Macaca fascicularis: one gene and its partners. The protein of the gene in region 2 binds, or shares a complex with, the protein of the main gene of each other region. Links are inferred from orthologs where the notes say so. Each region holds a gene or a part of one and is shown on either strand. Other genes may lie near its edges.

Region 1 (3,829 bases), on a different chromosome or scaffold from region 2:
GCTGAGGTGGGCTGATCACCTGAGGTCAGGAGTTCGAGACAAGCCTGGCCAACATGGCAAAACCCATCTCTACTAAAAATACAAAAATTAGCCGGGTGTGGTGGCTCACGCCTGTAATCCCAGCTACTGGGGAGGCTGAGGTACAAGAGTCACTTGAACCCTGGAGGTGGAGGTTGCAGTGAAATGAGATAGCGCCATTGCACTCCAGCCTGGGTGACAGGGTGAGACTCTGTCTCAAAAAATAAATAAATAAATAAGTAAAAAAACATTTCTATCCCCTTTCCTCTACCTTAGGTAATCACACCAGATTCCCCTGACTCTTTGACAATCTATTTGGCCAACCCTAACCCTGGATGATTCCGTCTTCCTTTTCTATTCACAGATCACAGACAGGGAGTGTTCACAAACCACAAAAACATGAAGTCTGTGCAAATGTACAATGCATAACCTCAAATGGGTCCTTGCTTCTAAGACGGAGGGGAGCACTCCAGGCAGGACCCAGTTTTATAAGGAGGCAAGGATGAAGAAAGCAAAAAAATTCCTGGGAGAGGTAATAACATGAATAGAAGCATGGAGATAATTTGACAGGAAAAATAGTTCAGCTGAACTAGAGCTTAGGAGAGCATACACTAATTTTTAAAGCATTAAGAAAACTAAAACTGTCCATCTCATTAGCCAAAGATAACAGTTAATAGTCTATTATACAGTAACAAATTTCCACACTCGCCACCCCCATGAACAGATACAAATCTGGAACAAACTGAGGGTTGTTTTGTAATCTGCTTTTGTCCTCCATCCTGTCCCATTTAAATTTTCTGAATATTTTTCCATGCTATTCAATGTTATTTTACGTGATTTTTTAATAGGGCATGATACTGCATTATAAAGAGGTAACCATCTATTCTCTTACTGAGGGATATTTACTATTTCTTTTTTTTGTTCTAAAATGTTTCAGTGAACATCTTTGCTAATAAATGTTTGTATACAGGTATGACTATTTTTAAAGAAACAACTACACAGTTCTGTTTTGATCTACTGGCAAAATTCAGCATATGTATCAATATACATTTCCATCAATGGTGTATGACAGTGCTTACTAGTTAAAAAATTTAAATAGTATTGTGCGAAGTAATGATCACAGCCCATTAACAGTTTCTTTATCCCTTCAGAGACAAAATAAGCACACAGAAAAGTACACAGGGATATGTGTGTACTCCCTCTCCCCACCCTCCCGTTTTAAAAAATATACTAATGGTAGCATATTCTATACACTCTTCTTTTCCACTTATTTCATGCATGATAGTTTATTGTTTCCTAAAAATCTGCTTCATGCTTAAAAGCAATGAATGATCTACTGAAGAGATGTGGTATTGGTAGGCATTTAAGCCATTTCCCATTTTTTGTGTAAGTAAACATCCTCACACAAAATTCTTAGTTTATGTAATCCATAAGAGAAGTGCTTGGAAGCAGAACTGTTATAACTCCTGCAACATAAGAAAGAGCTTGCTTTCCTTCACATTCCCCCAGAATGTAATGAATTTACCTTTGCCAAAAAAATAGGTGACAGTGGCATTACTACAGCATTAATCTATATTTCTTTCTATATTTTCTCTTACCAGAAATATCTTGGAAAATATTCCTTTTCTATGAACAGTTTATATCCTTGGTTAGGTTTTTTTTTTTTTTTTTTTGAGACAAGGTCTTGCGCTCTGTCACCCAGGTTGGAGTGCAGTGGCGCAATCTTGGCTCATTGAAGCCTCTACCTCCCAGGTTCAAGCAATGATCATGCCTCACCCTCCCAAGTAGCTGGGACTACAGGTGTGCGCCACCATGTCCACCTAAGTTTTGTATTTTCAGTAGAGACAGGGTTTCACTGTGTTGCCCAGGATGCTCTCAAATTCCTGACCTCAAGTGATCTCCCTGCTTCGGCCTCCCAAAGTGCTGGGGTTACAGGCATAAGCCACCATGCCTGGGCAATTATTGTATGTTTTAGAGACGGAGTCTTGCTCTGTCACTGAGGCTGGAGTGATCAGAGCTCACTGCAACCTCGAACTACTGGGCTTAAGGAGGGATCCTTCCATCTCAGTCTCCCAAGTAGCTGAGACTATAGGCACATGCAACCATGCATAGCTTTTTTTTTTTTTTTTTTAATTTTTTCTAGAGAAGAGGTCTCACTATGTTGACCAGGTTGGTCTCAAACTCCTGGCCTCAGGCGATCCCCCTCCCTCAGCTGGGATTACAGAGTGTGAGCTACCACACCCAGCTCGTTTCCTATTACATTACCTTTTCCATGAATACAAGAATGATTCTGGAGCAACTCACCAGATGGCTTTTCAGGATCAAGTTCTTCACAGAACTTCCAGAAGTGATAGAAATCTTCAGGTAAAGAAAGCTTATAATGATTTTCTATTTCTTTTCGAAGGTCACTGGAGACATCAGCTTCACAGAATTTACTTTTCTTCTCATCAACTGTTTTTTCACACTGAAAATTAGCACACAAACTTTAGTTCTCCAAATTATCTTTAGTAATTTCAGTAACTCTCCTTGCATAACAGTATCACTCACTCTTGTTCACCCAGCTCTATGAAATACATGTGTTTTCCTCAAAACTCTCTAAACGGTATTTGAGTAAAATCTGGGAATTCATTTGGGCACAGGAAAAAAGAGTAGTTTATATGGTGGTTAAGAGGAATCCACACAGCAAGTCCTTAAATATATTTTTGTAAGATAATGGAAACCACAAAAACCAAAAAGGCAAAAAAAAAAAAGAAATAAAGAGTAGGAAGAGAGGAATAAAGAATTTTTCCCTCTTTTGGTTAAAGGTGTGAGTCTTTTAAACAGATTCATTGATCACACCAGAAACAGTCAGAAGTAACTGGATATAAGCAATTCATCAGTTAAAAAGCTGTTTCTCCATAAAAAAGGATGAGTTCACATCTTTTGTAGGGACATGGATGAAGCTGGAAACCATCATTCTCAGCAAACTATCGCAAGGAAAAAAAAACCAAACACAGCATGTTCTCACTCATAGGTGGGAACTGAACAATGAGAACACTTGGACACAGGGTGGGGAACATCATACACCGGGGCCTGTCGTGGGGTGGGGGGAGGAGGGAGGGATAGCAGTAGGAGATATACCTAATGTAAATGATGAGTTAATAGGTGCAGCACACCAACATGGCACATGTATACATACGTAACAAACCTGCACATTGTGCACATGTACCCTAGAACTTAAAGTATAATTAAAAAAAAAAAAAAAAAAAAAAGGCTGTTTCTTCAGCAACATCCAGAGTTGTATCTGAGCTATTCATTACCCAGCCTTAAAAACAGATACCTCCTTTTGATTTTCCAAATAAAGAGGGAAAGTTAGTGACAATGTTAAACATACACAGTTCCTAACAAAGCTAGCAGAATAGCACTAAACTCTAGGCCAAAAATCCAATTATTTCAGAAAAGGCCTTTAAATGCCAGGATTAAGTTACAATACTCATCTCTAGGACTCCCACAGTATAGGTTCATTACATAAGTATGCTAGGTTTTATAATGCCTACTAGATATTTGATAAATTTCTGTAAAGACAATATGCTTAATGGGAGGTTATGTATGGTTAGTTTACTAAGAAGCAATCTGTTTTTCTTTCTATGAACCTAGATTCTTTCTTTTTGGATTGAGTTCTTTCCTTTCCTACCTAGAGCAGTGGTTCTCAACCGGTGGTGATTTTGCCCCCCAGGGGACATTTGGAGACCTATTTAGTTGTCACCAGTCGGAAGAAGGGTGCTAGTGGGGCAGAGGCCAGGTATGCTCCACATCCTACAATGCCCAGGAT
Region 2 (4,534 bases):
AAAGCCCAGAATGTTGTTATTACTATTTATTTTTTTTCAGACAGGGTCTGGGTCTGTCGCCCAGGCTGGAGTACAGTGGCATTATCTCGGTTCGCTGCAACCTCCACCTCCCAGGCTCAAGCAATCTTCCAGCTTCAGCCTCCAGAGTAGCTGGGACATAAAGGCATGAACCACCACGCCCCGCTAATCACTGCATTTTTTTTGTAGAGATGAGGTTTCAGCATGTTGGCCAGGTTGGTCTTGAACCGCTGAGCTTAAGTGATCTGCCCACCCAAGCATCCCAAAGCGCTGAGATTACAAGCGTGTGCCACCGAGCCTGGCCCCAGAATGTTAAACTTGATCAGGTTCAGCTTCCTCCATCCTGCCTCCCCAACAGCTAACTAAGCCTCCTCTAACTTCCTCCACAGCGGTGTTGTTCTAGCCTCAACACACTGCCTGAACTTGGGTTTTCTGTCTTTCCACTAGAACACGGTACTCTGCCCACCTGTTACGGCCCGTGGATGTCCCTTTCTCGGAATAACATTTAAAAATGCATAATAAAAAGGCTCGCAAATGGTCAGTCATGGTGGCTCACGCCTGTAATCCTAGCACTTTACAGGGCTAAGGTGGGTGGATCACTTGAGCTGAGGAGTTTGAGACCAGCCTGGGCAACATAGTGAGACCCCATCTCAAAAAACAAAACAAAAAAGTTCAAAAAGGAAACATACTCAAATAATTATCAAAACATTTGAAAGGTAATTTGCGTACAGTAACCCGTGAGCTTCAAAGTTTTAAATAACAAGATCTAGTACTGCCTCTAACAACTGTGATTTTTATAGCAATGAGAGTAAATTATATTTTGAGAAACTCCCAACTGTAAAGTGAAAATATCTGTAATTACCGCTGGTGAAAAAAATCATAGGGACTGCTAATATGCCTTTGCTTTGCTGCTTACATTTATGATTAGAGGAAATAATGAATTTTATCTATAGGTTAGTGGAGATGGAGATATCAATTTTTTCTTATCTAAACCCATGGACCTCTTGCATTCTATCTACCATCCTACGGACCCTGGGGTTAAGAGCTCCTGCACCAGGAGTGAGAACTTCATTAGAACAGGCTGCCTTATATATTTAAGGTAAGTTCTAGGTTCCTTAGTGGGAAACACGGCTCTTCAAATTGTAGGCCCTGTCTACTTCCCTATCCTCATCTTTCTGCTCCACTTCTGTGAATTAACGACTCCTAATCAACCTTCCACCCTAAGGTGGGTCATCTTGGACTCCTAGGCACACAATGCCTGGAGCACAGTTCCATCAGGTGGCATCCATCCCCTCTGTACGGCAATGTTTGTTTACCAGTCAATTCCCGTTTAACCAAACTGGAAATTCCCAAAGGTGGATTCTGTGTCCTTAAAACCTAACAGAGTGCTTAGAACTTAACAAATATCTACCAAATAAGCACTGTGTGCCACGTACTGACTTAGGTATGCCCCAAGGACACCGAGATGACAGACATATTGTGAAATAAGATAACGGAAGTACACCTGGCACTTGGGTATCCACTCGGTAAATGTCGCCCTCCCTTGTACTCTTTAAGTCCTGAAAATCCACTGAGGGCTATCTGGTCATTCCTAAAACACATTACAGCTCATGGTAGGGAGGAAAATCAAGCTACCTTGACCATGAGCACTAAGCTTGGGTAATGTGTTGGAAGCGAGGAGGAACAGGGCAGGTGAGAACCAGAATTATTCATACAAAGGCAGACATCAGCAAACTGGAAGCTGGAGGCAGGAGCCCCTGGGAAATGACAGGGGCCTTCAAGCCCACCACCTCACAGAAGCCTCAGGAAATCTCAAAAGGGGATCGATCCTCAATCTATCAAAAAGCCCACATGAGAAACCCCCCTGGAGCCACTCTTACTCAAACCAGACAGCTGCAAGTGCACCGAGAACGCGTCTGTGAACCTGGAAAATTTGGGGAAAATGTTATTTTAAAGCACAGATTAGGCTCAAAGTGAATGCACTGTACAGAAATGACACCTCTCTGCATAGTTTTGCCTAATTAAAATGAAAAATGAGGGTGAGCGTTAAAATGACGTGTTGAAATGACGGCCAAAAATAGGTTAAAAAAAAAAAATCCCCACATGCCAGTCGCCACCATCCACGTAGGACAAAAATCTTCCAGAACAAGATAGGTCAAAATCAGATTAGCTTAAAGAGACCATGTACAATTCCCCCCCACCCCCAATCCCTGAGGCGAACGGCAATAATAAAACACCACCACCAAGAAAGGAGGAGAGAAGCGGCTTCTCGTTTACACAAAGCGAAAGGCAGCACCAGCTGCAGACTGTATTTCCCGGGCTTTTCCTGCAACATCAGCAAAACCTTCCGGAAGGGTCGGCCGGGCCGCTCGGCGGAGGAGAGGCGGCCACGGCCCCACAGGCCCTAAGTGCCGTTCCGAGAGCCCAGGTCCGCTCGCTCCCCGGGCCCGCACTCCCCGAGCCTTCCCGGACACAGTTAACCCGGGGCGCCGCGTACCCGCCCCGCCGCCCGCACAGCGGCCCGCACCTGCACCATGATGGCCATCCGGAGCGAGTCCTTGGGGATGCTCTCGCTGCATTTCTTGCAAGAGGCGCGCCCGCTCTTGGCGTACTCGACTCGGTAGAGCTTATCCGAAGACTCCGCCATCTCCCCTAGCTGCAGCCAAAGCTCCGGGAGCCCGACGCCACGACCTGGAAACACGCCGCCGCCTCGCCGCCTAGCCGCCCCGCGTGCGCTCACCCAGCCGCAGGCGCCTGAGCGTCCAGAGCCGCCACCGAGCACACCGCACCGGCCACCGCGGTTCCCCGATAGATTGCTGATGCCTGGCAGCGGAAACGCCCACGGAGCCCACGTCCACGGGGCGGGGCCTGCGGCGCTCGCGCCCCCTGCCGGCCGGGGGGCGGAGTTTCCCGGGCTCCTGCGGGTGGAGCTCTACGGCCCGCTACCCTGTGGGCCGAGGCGGGGCTTGGACTGAGCTAGTAGCTCTTTGGAGGACCCGGCGCCACCCCTTTGATCGTTCTGTCCCAGGAAGTCTTACCTGTTTTCATAACTAATTATACCCCCAACCCCTCCACCTTTTATTTTTGAGACTGAGTCTCACTGCGCTGGAGTGCAGCGGCGCGATCATGGCTCACTGCAGTCTGGAACTCCTGAGCCCAGCGATCCTCCCACCTCAGCCTCCCAAGTAGCTGGGACTACAGGCGTGCACCACCACAACTGGCTAATAAAAAAAAAAAATTGTTTTTTTAGGGATAGAGTCTCGCCAAGTTGGCTAGACTGGTCTCAAACTCCTGGCTATAAGTGATCTTCGAGCCTCAGCCTTCTAAAGTGCTGGGGTCACAGGAGTGAACTACCAAGCCAGCCCCAAACTCTTTTTATAAGTGTGTCCTCTCTCCCCTGAGGGCAGCTGGGTCCGGGAATAGCAGGCCCCCCTAGGGAATATAGTTGATCGGCCCTAGGTGGACCCTGCAGTGTTAGGTCAACCCCCCTGGCTTGGACGGGCATTCCAACCTGCCATCCATACACCGTCGGGACAAAATACCAACTGAAACCTAGCATTTCCTTTATTATGAATTTGACTACAAATCCCAGGAGTATTAGAAGTACCTGTGACTTTGTGGGCAATAGTCATCACAGATGTTTTCATGTTACTTTACAGTTATTTTGGTGATAACTCAAAATATTATTAAGCTCATCACTACTCAAAATTGTGGTAATGACTAGACCTGTTGCTACCAGATATTTTCTCTCTCTCTCTCTCTCTCTGTGTGTGTGTATAAAGAAAGAGATGGGGCATCTCTCCATGTTGCCCAGGCTGGTCTTGAACCCCTGGCCTCAAGCAATCCTCCTACCTTGGCCTCCCAAAGTGCTGGGATTACAGGGATGAGCCACTGCAGCTGGCCTAGATCATGTTGTTTAATATGGAACTATACTTTAAAATACAGTTGATTAAAATTGGTTTCTTTTCTAATCCTATGCTTTTTTTTTTTTTTCATTTCAAAGATTGTAACATGAGTGTGCTGCATTTGAAAATATTCAATTCTGGTGTAGAGGATAAGAAAAATAAGTGGATGAATAAAACTCATAAAAAGTGTTAACCATAGAGAAGAAGCTAGTAGCTTAAGAGATAAGTATGTTGCCGGGCGCGGTGGCTCAAGCCTGTAATCCCAGCACTTTGGGAGGCCGAGACGGGCGGATCACGAGGTCGGGAGATCGAGACCATCCTGGTTAACACGGTGAAACCCCGTCTCTACTAAAAAATACAAAAAACTAGCCGGGCGAGGTGGCGGGCGCCTGTAGTCCCAGCTACTTGGGAGGCTGAGGCAGGAGAATGGCGTGAACCCGGGAGGCGGAGCTTGCAGTGAGCTGAGATCCGGCCACTGCACTCCAGCCTGGGTGACAGAGCGAGACTCCGTCTCAAAAAAAAAAAAAAAAAAAAAAAAAAGAGATAAGTATGTTGAGTAAGCAAGAAGGTTGTGAGACATAGGCTGAATCATAAAAGTTAGTAATCAGTAA
Region 3 (3,829 bases), about 12 Mb from region 2:
CCTTGATCTGCTCAAGGTCACCAAGCAAGGCTATGGCAACACAGGGTCCAATTGGCTCAGAGCTTCGTTGTCAGGAAGATGTCATCGTTCTATTTGCATTCATCTTCACTGAGTGCGTGCTGGGGAGAGGTGCCTGGAGAGGGAAAGGCCAGACTGAGTGTTACCTGCTGTCGGCATCCTTACCTGTGCAAAGAGTACTACGAGGCTATCATTGTCGGGGAATTCGAGATGCTTGGAGTAAAAGTGATGGAGAGCAGCAATGTCACTCTGAATCAAATCCTTCTTCTCATTGTCTAACTTATCCAGATCTGTGGATAAATAATCCATTATTCTCACCTGGTAGAAAACACAGGATTTCTAGCTACATCCTATTGTTGCTGTAAATGATATAGAGAAAGGAAAGGGCGAAAAAAAACCCCAAAACTAACATGTTGAACCCCCAGAGAACATTCTTCCCCATCACTTGGTTTAACTGACAAACCCTAGGGAAAGAAAGCAAGCCATTTCTTCTTCCTCTCCCTCTGATGACTAGAAGTCACTCAGGACATGAGATTTCAACTGACTGTTAGTGACAAGGTCAGGGATGAGTAGCCATGACTCATAAACAGCTTCAGCCTAGTCAAGGGCCTCCCAATTGGCCCAGGAATCTGGGCCACAGTCAAACAACTGGACAACCCCTGATTTCATGGCTTTCAGTAAAAACATCAGCTATTTACAGGACTGCAATTCAGCAAAGATCCAAAAATATTCAGCATGCCAAGAGGGCCAGCAGGAGGTAACTCAGGGTGCAATAATTCCTCTTGGGAGCTCCTACCTCCTTTAATTATTTCCTAACAATCCTGTCAACTCAGAAGGAAAAAGCTAAAAGTGCTTTTCAAAACAGCACAAAAGTCAAAATAAAAACTAGTAATGAAAGAAATCACTACTCCTCTGAGCACAGGCTAGGCCGTCCTCGCTTCAATCCTGCCGAACCCATGTGAAACCTGTGGCTGAGAGAACTGCATGGCTGGTCACAGAAAGACTTACGTGATTCAAACTCCTTCACGGCTAACAATTTTTCCGAAGGTGTTCTCTCTGGGTGGATTTTCTAGCAATTGGGGAAGACATCATACAGATTTTTTAACAACCAGTGTAGAAAGTGGCACTTTCACTTTTACATCAACATAAAGAAAAAGTAACAATTCTTAAGGAAGTAAAACGGGCACCCAAGGACTCCACCACCAGGGCTCTCCAACAACCAAATCCAAAGACTCTTCTAAAGTGCTTTTTAAAATGTCTACTGCGTACCTAACACCCTGATAATACTATGCACACAGTAGGCTCAGAAATGCCTGTTATGGGAAAGAACAGGGCCGGACAACAACTTTTTAGGGTCTTTACTTAAAAGGACTGGGTCTACAGACAAACCATCCTATTTATTATTTCGCCTTCTAAAAAGGAACAAAATCAAACCCCCCATCCATTTTACACTTTCTTTAAGCATAGGCTAAAATGATCTCAAATTCTGTGTTTCAAAAAGAACACTTTTGGTTGTATCTGTGAGCCCAGATTCACTTTAAACGTGTTGCTGGCTTTGTTCTAGACACCCCAAGAGGAGCTAACAATAGTAAACCCGCTAGGCTTTGAGAACATGAATAAACTTGGTGTTGACAAGAGTTCAAAGGCAGAGCTCAGGAGCTGGCCCAAGGCCGTGTCTTTGTAATCTGGCTATTCAATTTGGGGATACAGGTGGTCTAGCAGGGCACGCTCACCTCCCTAGTTAACATGTTAAGCCTCCCCTTGGTAGTTTGGTAGCCTGTCTCCCCTAATCCTTTGCAAGCTACTAGAATACAAATGGTCTGTTTTTTTAATCATCAAGTCCTATAGAGATGAAAAGATGGGCAGGTAACTTTCATTTAATACACTATTAGTAGTAGTAGTAATTATAATAAAAGTTGAATGAAGCTTGTATAAACTCATCTTTGCATTCAGACTACCCTCCTGGTGCCGAAATATCTCAATAGTTCTTTTTTAGAGCAGAAATCTTCCATTCACGGAATGCATTTTCATAAGATTTATAAGTCATCTCTCTTGGGAAAGCTTTTCATTCAGGAAAGTCTACCAGCCTCTTCTGAATTCTTAAAATATCACTATACATATCATCAATAATTCAGGGGAAGAAAATAATAAAACACTGGCTTGGCCACCCCATCCTCCCAAGATGCGCAGAGATCCCATCTGATGACTTACTAGCTCTGATGCCTCACCCAGTCATCCTATTCCCTCTGACTCATTCAGCCCAAATACTCTGCATAAATTTAAAGATAACTGTTATTAAGGATCCGAAAGTTAACCTCCTGCAGGGAAAGAATTCTGATGCTTTGGTCTCACTTTACAGGCAACCCATGAATGGCTTTGGATACTCTCAGCTGGCGAGGCAGCATTTCAGCAAGCACCTGACCTAAGCTGAACATAGTGGAAAGATGACCTCAGAGTTTGGAAATGTTCTACTTCTGTTTACACAGCCCAGGATCCTAACCTGGTCTGGGGACAGATACATGCTAATCCTTTCCATCACATTTGGCTTAGATTAAAAAATAGAAAAATTTTAAGGGTAGAGGAGGGCTGGTAGGTATATGGAAGAGGTAGATGAAATTTCAGTTTTGTTTTTTCCATCTCATTTACTTTGTTGCTCAGGTTGGAGTACGGTGGCACAATCACAGCTCACTGCAGCCTTGAAGTTCCGGGTTCAAGCAATTCTCCTGCCTCAGCCTCCAGAATAGCTGGGACCACAGGTGTATACCACCACGCCTGGGAAATTTTTTTAATTTTTAAAATTTATGGGTCTCACTTTGTTGCCAAGGCTGGTCTCCAACTCCTGGATTCAAACAATCCTGCTGCCTTAGCCTCCCAAAGTGCTAAGATTACAGGTATGAGCTACTATGCCTGCCCAGATGAAATTTCAGCTTTAAAAGATTTAGTCCAGAGGCCCTGCCACCAACTTCTCTGACAACACTGAGGAGCAAGACCTCCACAGCCTGGATTTAGGCCTTCTAAGCCTAAAGACATAGACATAGATGCCCAAGACATAAACATGGCTTCAGTTCATAAGTCCTAGTAAGTGTTTCTAATAAACTGGATTTGTCAGCTTCTTTCTTCTGTCTCTCAGCTTCCTTAGTCTTTGAGGGTAAGTTTGCAAAGGCCTGCCCACCAGGCCTGTGCCCACCAGGCCGATAGTCTGACTATTCTGACTCTGAATAGTCAGAGTTGGCACCACCTCTGGAGAAAGCCATTGATGACTATCATCTGTTTCCATCAAGGGCGCCTCTTTCTTTCCTCCTTCTTCACTTTTTTTTTTTTTTTAACTCTCTTCCCCTCTCTCTTGCCTCTATTTCTACTTTTCCACTCTTTCTCTTCTTTGCACAGCCACGTGGCTGCTCCATCCAATTCTTTGTCTGCCTATGCACAGGCAAGAAAGGAGCCAAGAAACAGCAGAATATTGCACAGGACAGGGGAACAGAGTACACTCTTTATGTCACAATGGACAGGGGAAAATCTCAAAGCTGCTCAGACCAATCTGCTTCCCTAGGAAGCTCTAATTATTTGGGGTCAGGCTTTTCATGTCATATATTTCTATGTAAACCTGTCATGAAAACAGCTCAGAATTTCAGAGCTGTGGCTATGCTCCTGGTCTGGGGTGAGCACAGGGCACACAACGAACCAGATTATGCCTGGAGTATTTTCCCCACCCTTGTCCATATGGATATGATAGGAAATGGGGTCTAAGGATGTTTAACGAGAGATGGTTACCAAAGGTCAGTTACTCATCTTTCTGACCTTTAAAAAAAAA

What was found. The genes of interacting proteins can lie anywhere in the genome.
Region 1: the proteins of PARP1 (region 2) and HPF1 are in contact, whole or in part, in a crystal structure (PDB 6M3I), measured with the Homo sapiens proteins. The link is inferred for Macaca fascicularis from reciprocal best matches to the Homo sapiens genes PARP1 and HPF1. Residues at the interface, in NP_001609.2 of Homo sapiens: Thr825, His826, Asn827, Ala828, Arg865, Met890, Lys903, Asn906, Tyr907, His909, Ser911, Gln912, Gly913, His934, Lys953, Ser983, Leu984, Leu985, Tyr986, Glu988, Thr1011, Ser1012, Leu1013, Trp1014; in NP_060337.2 of Homo sapiens: Asn234, Val236, Asp261, Arg264, Leu265, Phe268, Gln272, Glu273, Thr276, Phe277, Gln279, Phe280, Asn282, Asp283, Glu284, Cys285, Tyr287, Tyr304, Lys307, Val308, Gln311, Leu315, Leu319.
Region 3: the proteins of PARP1 (region 2) and SMYD2 are in contact, whole or in part, in a crystal structure (PDB 9CKC), measured with the Homo sapiens proteins. The link is inferred for Macaca fascicularis from reciprocal best matches to the Homo sapiens genes PARP1 and SMYD2. Residues at the interface, in NP_001609.2 of Homo sapiens: Thr526, Leu527, Lys528, Gly529, Gly530, Ala531; in NP_064582.2 of Homo sapiens: Thr105, Leu108, Val179, Asn180, Cys181, Asn182, Gly183, Phe184, Thr185, Glu187, Leu191, Ser196, Ala203, Met205, Tyr240, Ile241, Asp242, Ser257, Tyr258, Asn380.

The regions. Positions count from the first base shown.
Region 1 is NC_088379.1:174,548,875-174,552,703, forward strand, and holds part of HPF1 (histone PARylation factor 1), read right to left. Parts: intron 2,483-3,829; coding exon 2,323-2,482; intron 1-2,322. UniProt on the Homo sapiens protein: Cofactor for serine ADP-ribosylation that confers serine specificity on PARP1 and PARP2 and plays a key role in DNA damage response.
Region 2 is NC_088375.1:84,321,911-84,326,444, forward strand, and holds the start of PARP1 (poly [ADP-ribose] polymerase 1), read right to left. Parts: upstream 2,834-4,534; 5' UTR 2,666-2,833; coding exon 2,546-2,665; intron 1-2,545. UniProt on the Homo sapiens protein: Poly-ADP-ribosyltransferase that mediates poly-ADP-ribosylation of proteins and plays a key role in DNA repair.
Region 3 is NC_088375.1:72,100,969-72,104,797, reverse strand, and holds part of SMYD2 (N-lysine methyltransferase SMYD2), read right to left. Parts: intron 1,088-3,829; coding exon 1,027-1,087; intron 309-1,026; coding exon 184-308; intron 1-183. UniProt on the Homo sapiens protein: Protein-lysine N-methyltransferase that methylates both histones and non-histone proteins, including p53/TP53 and RB1. Specifically trimethylates histone H3 'Lys-4' (H3K4me3) in vivo. The activity requires interaction with HSP90alpha.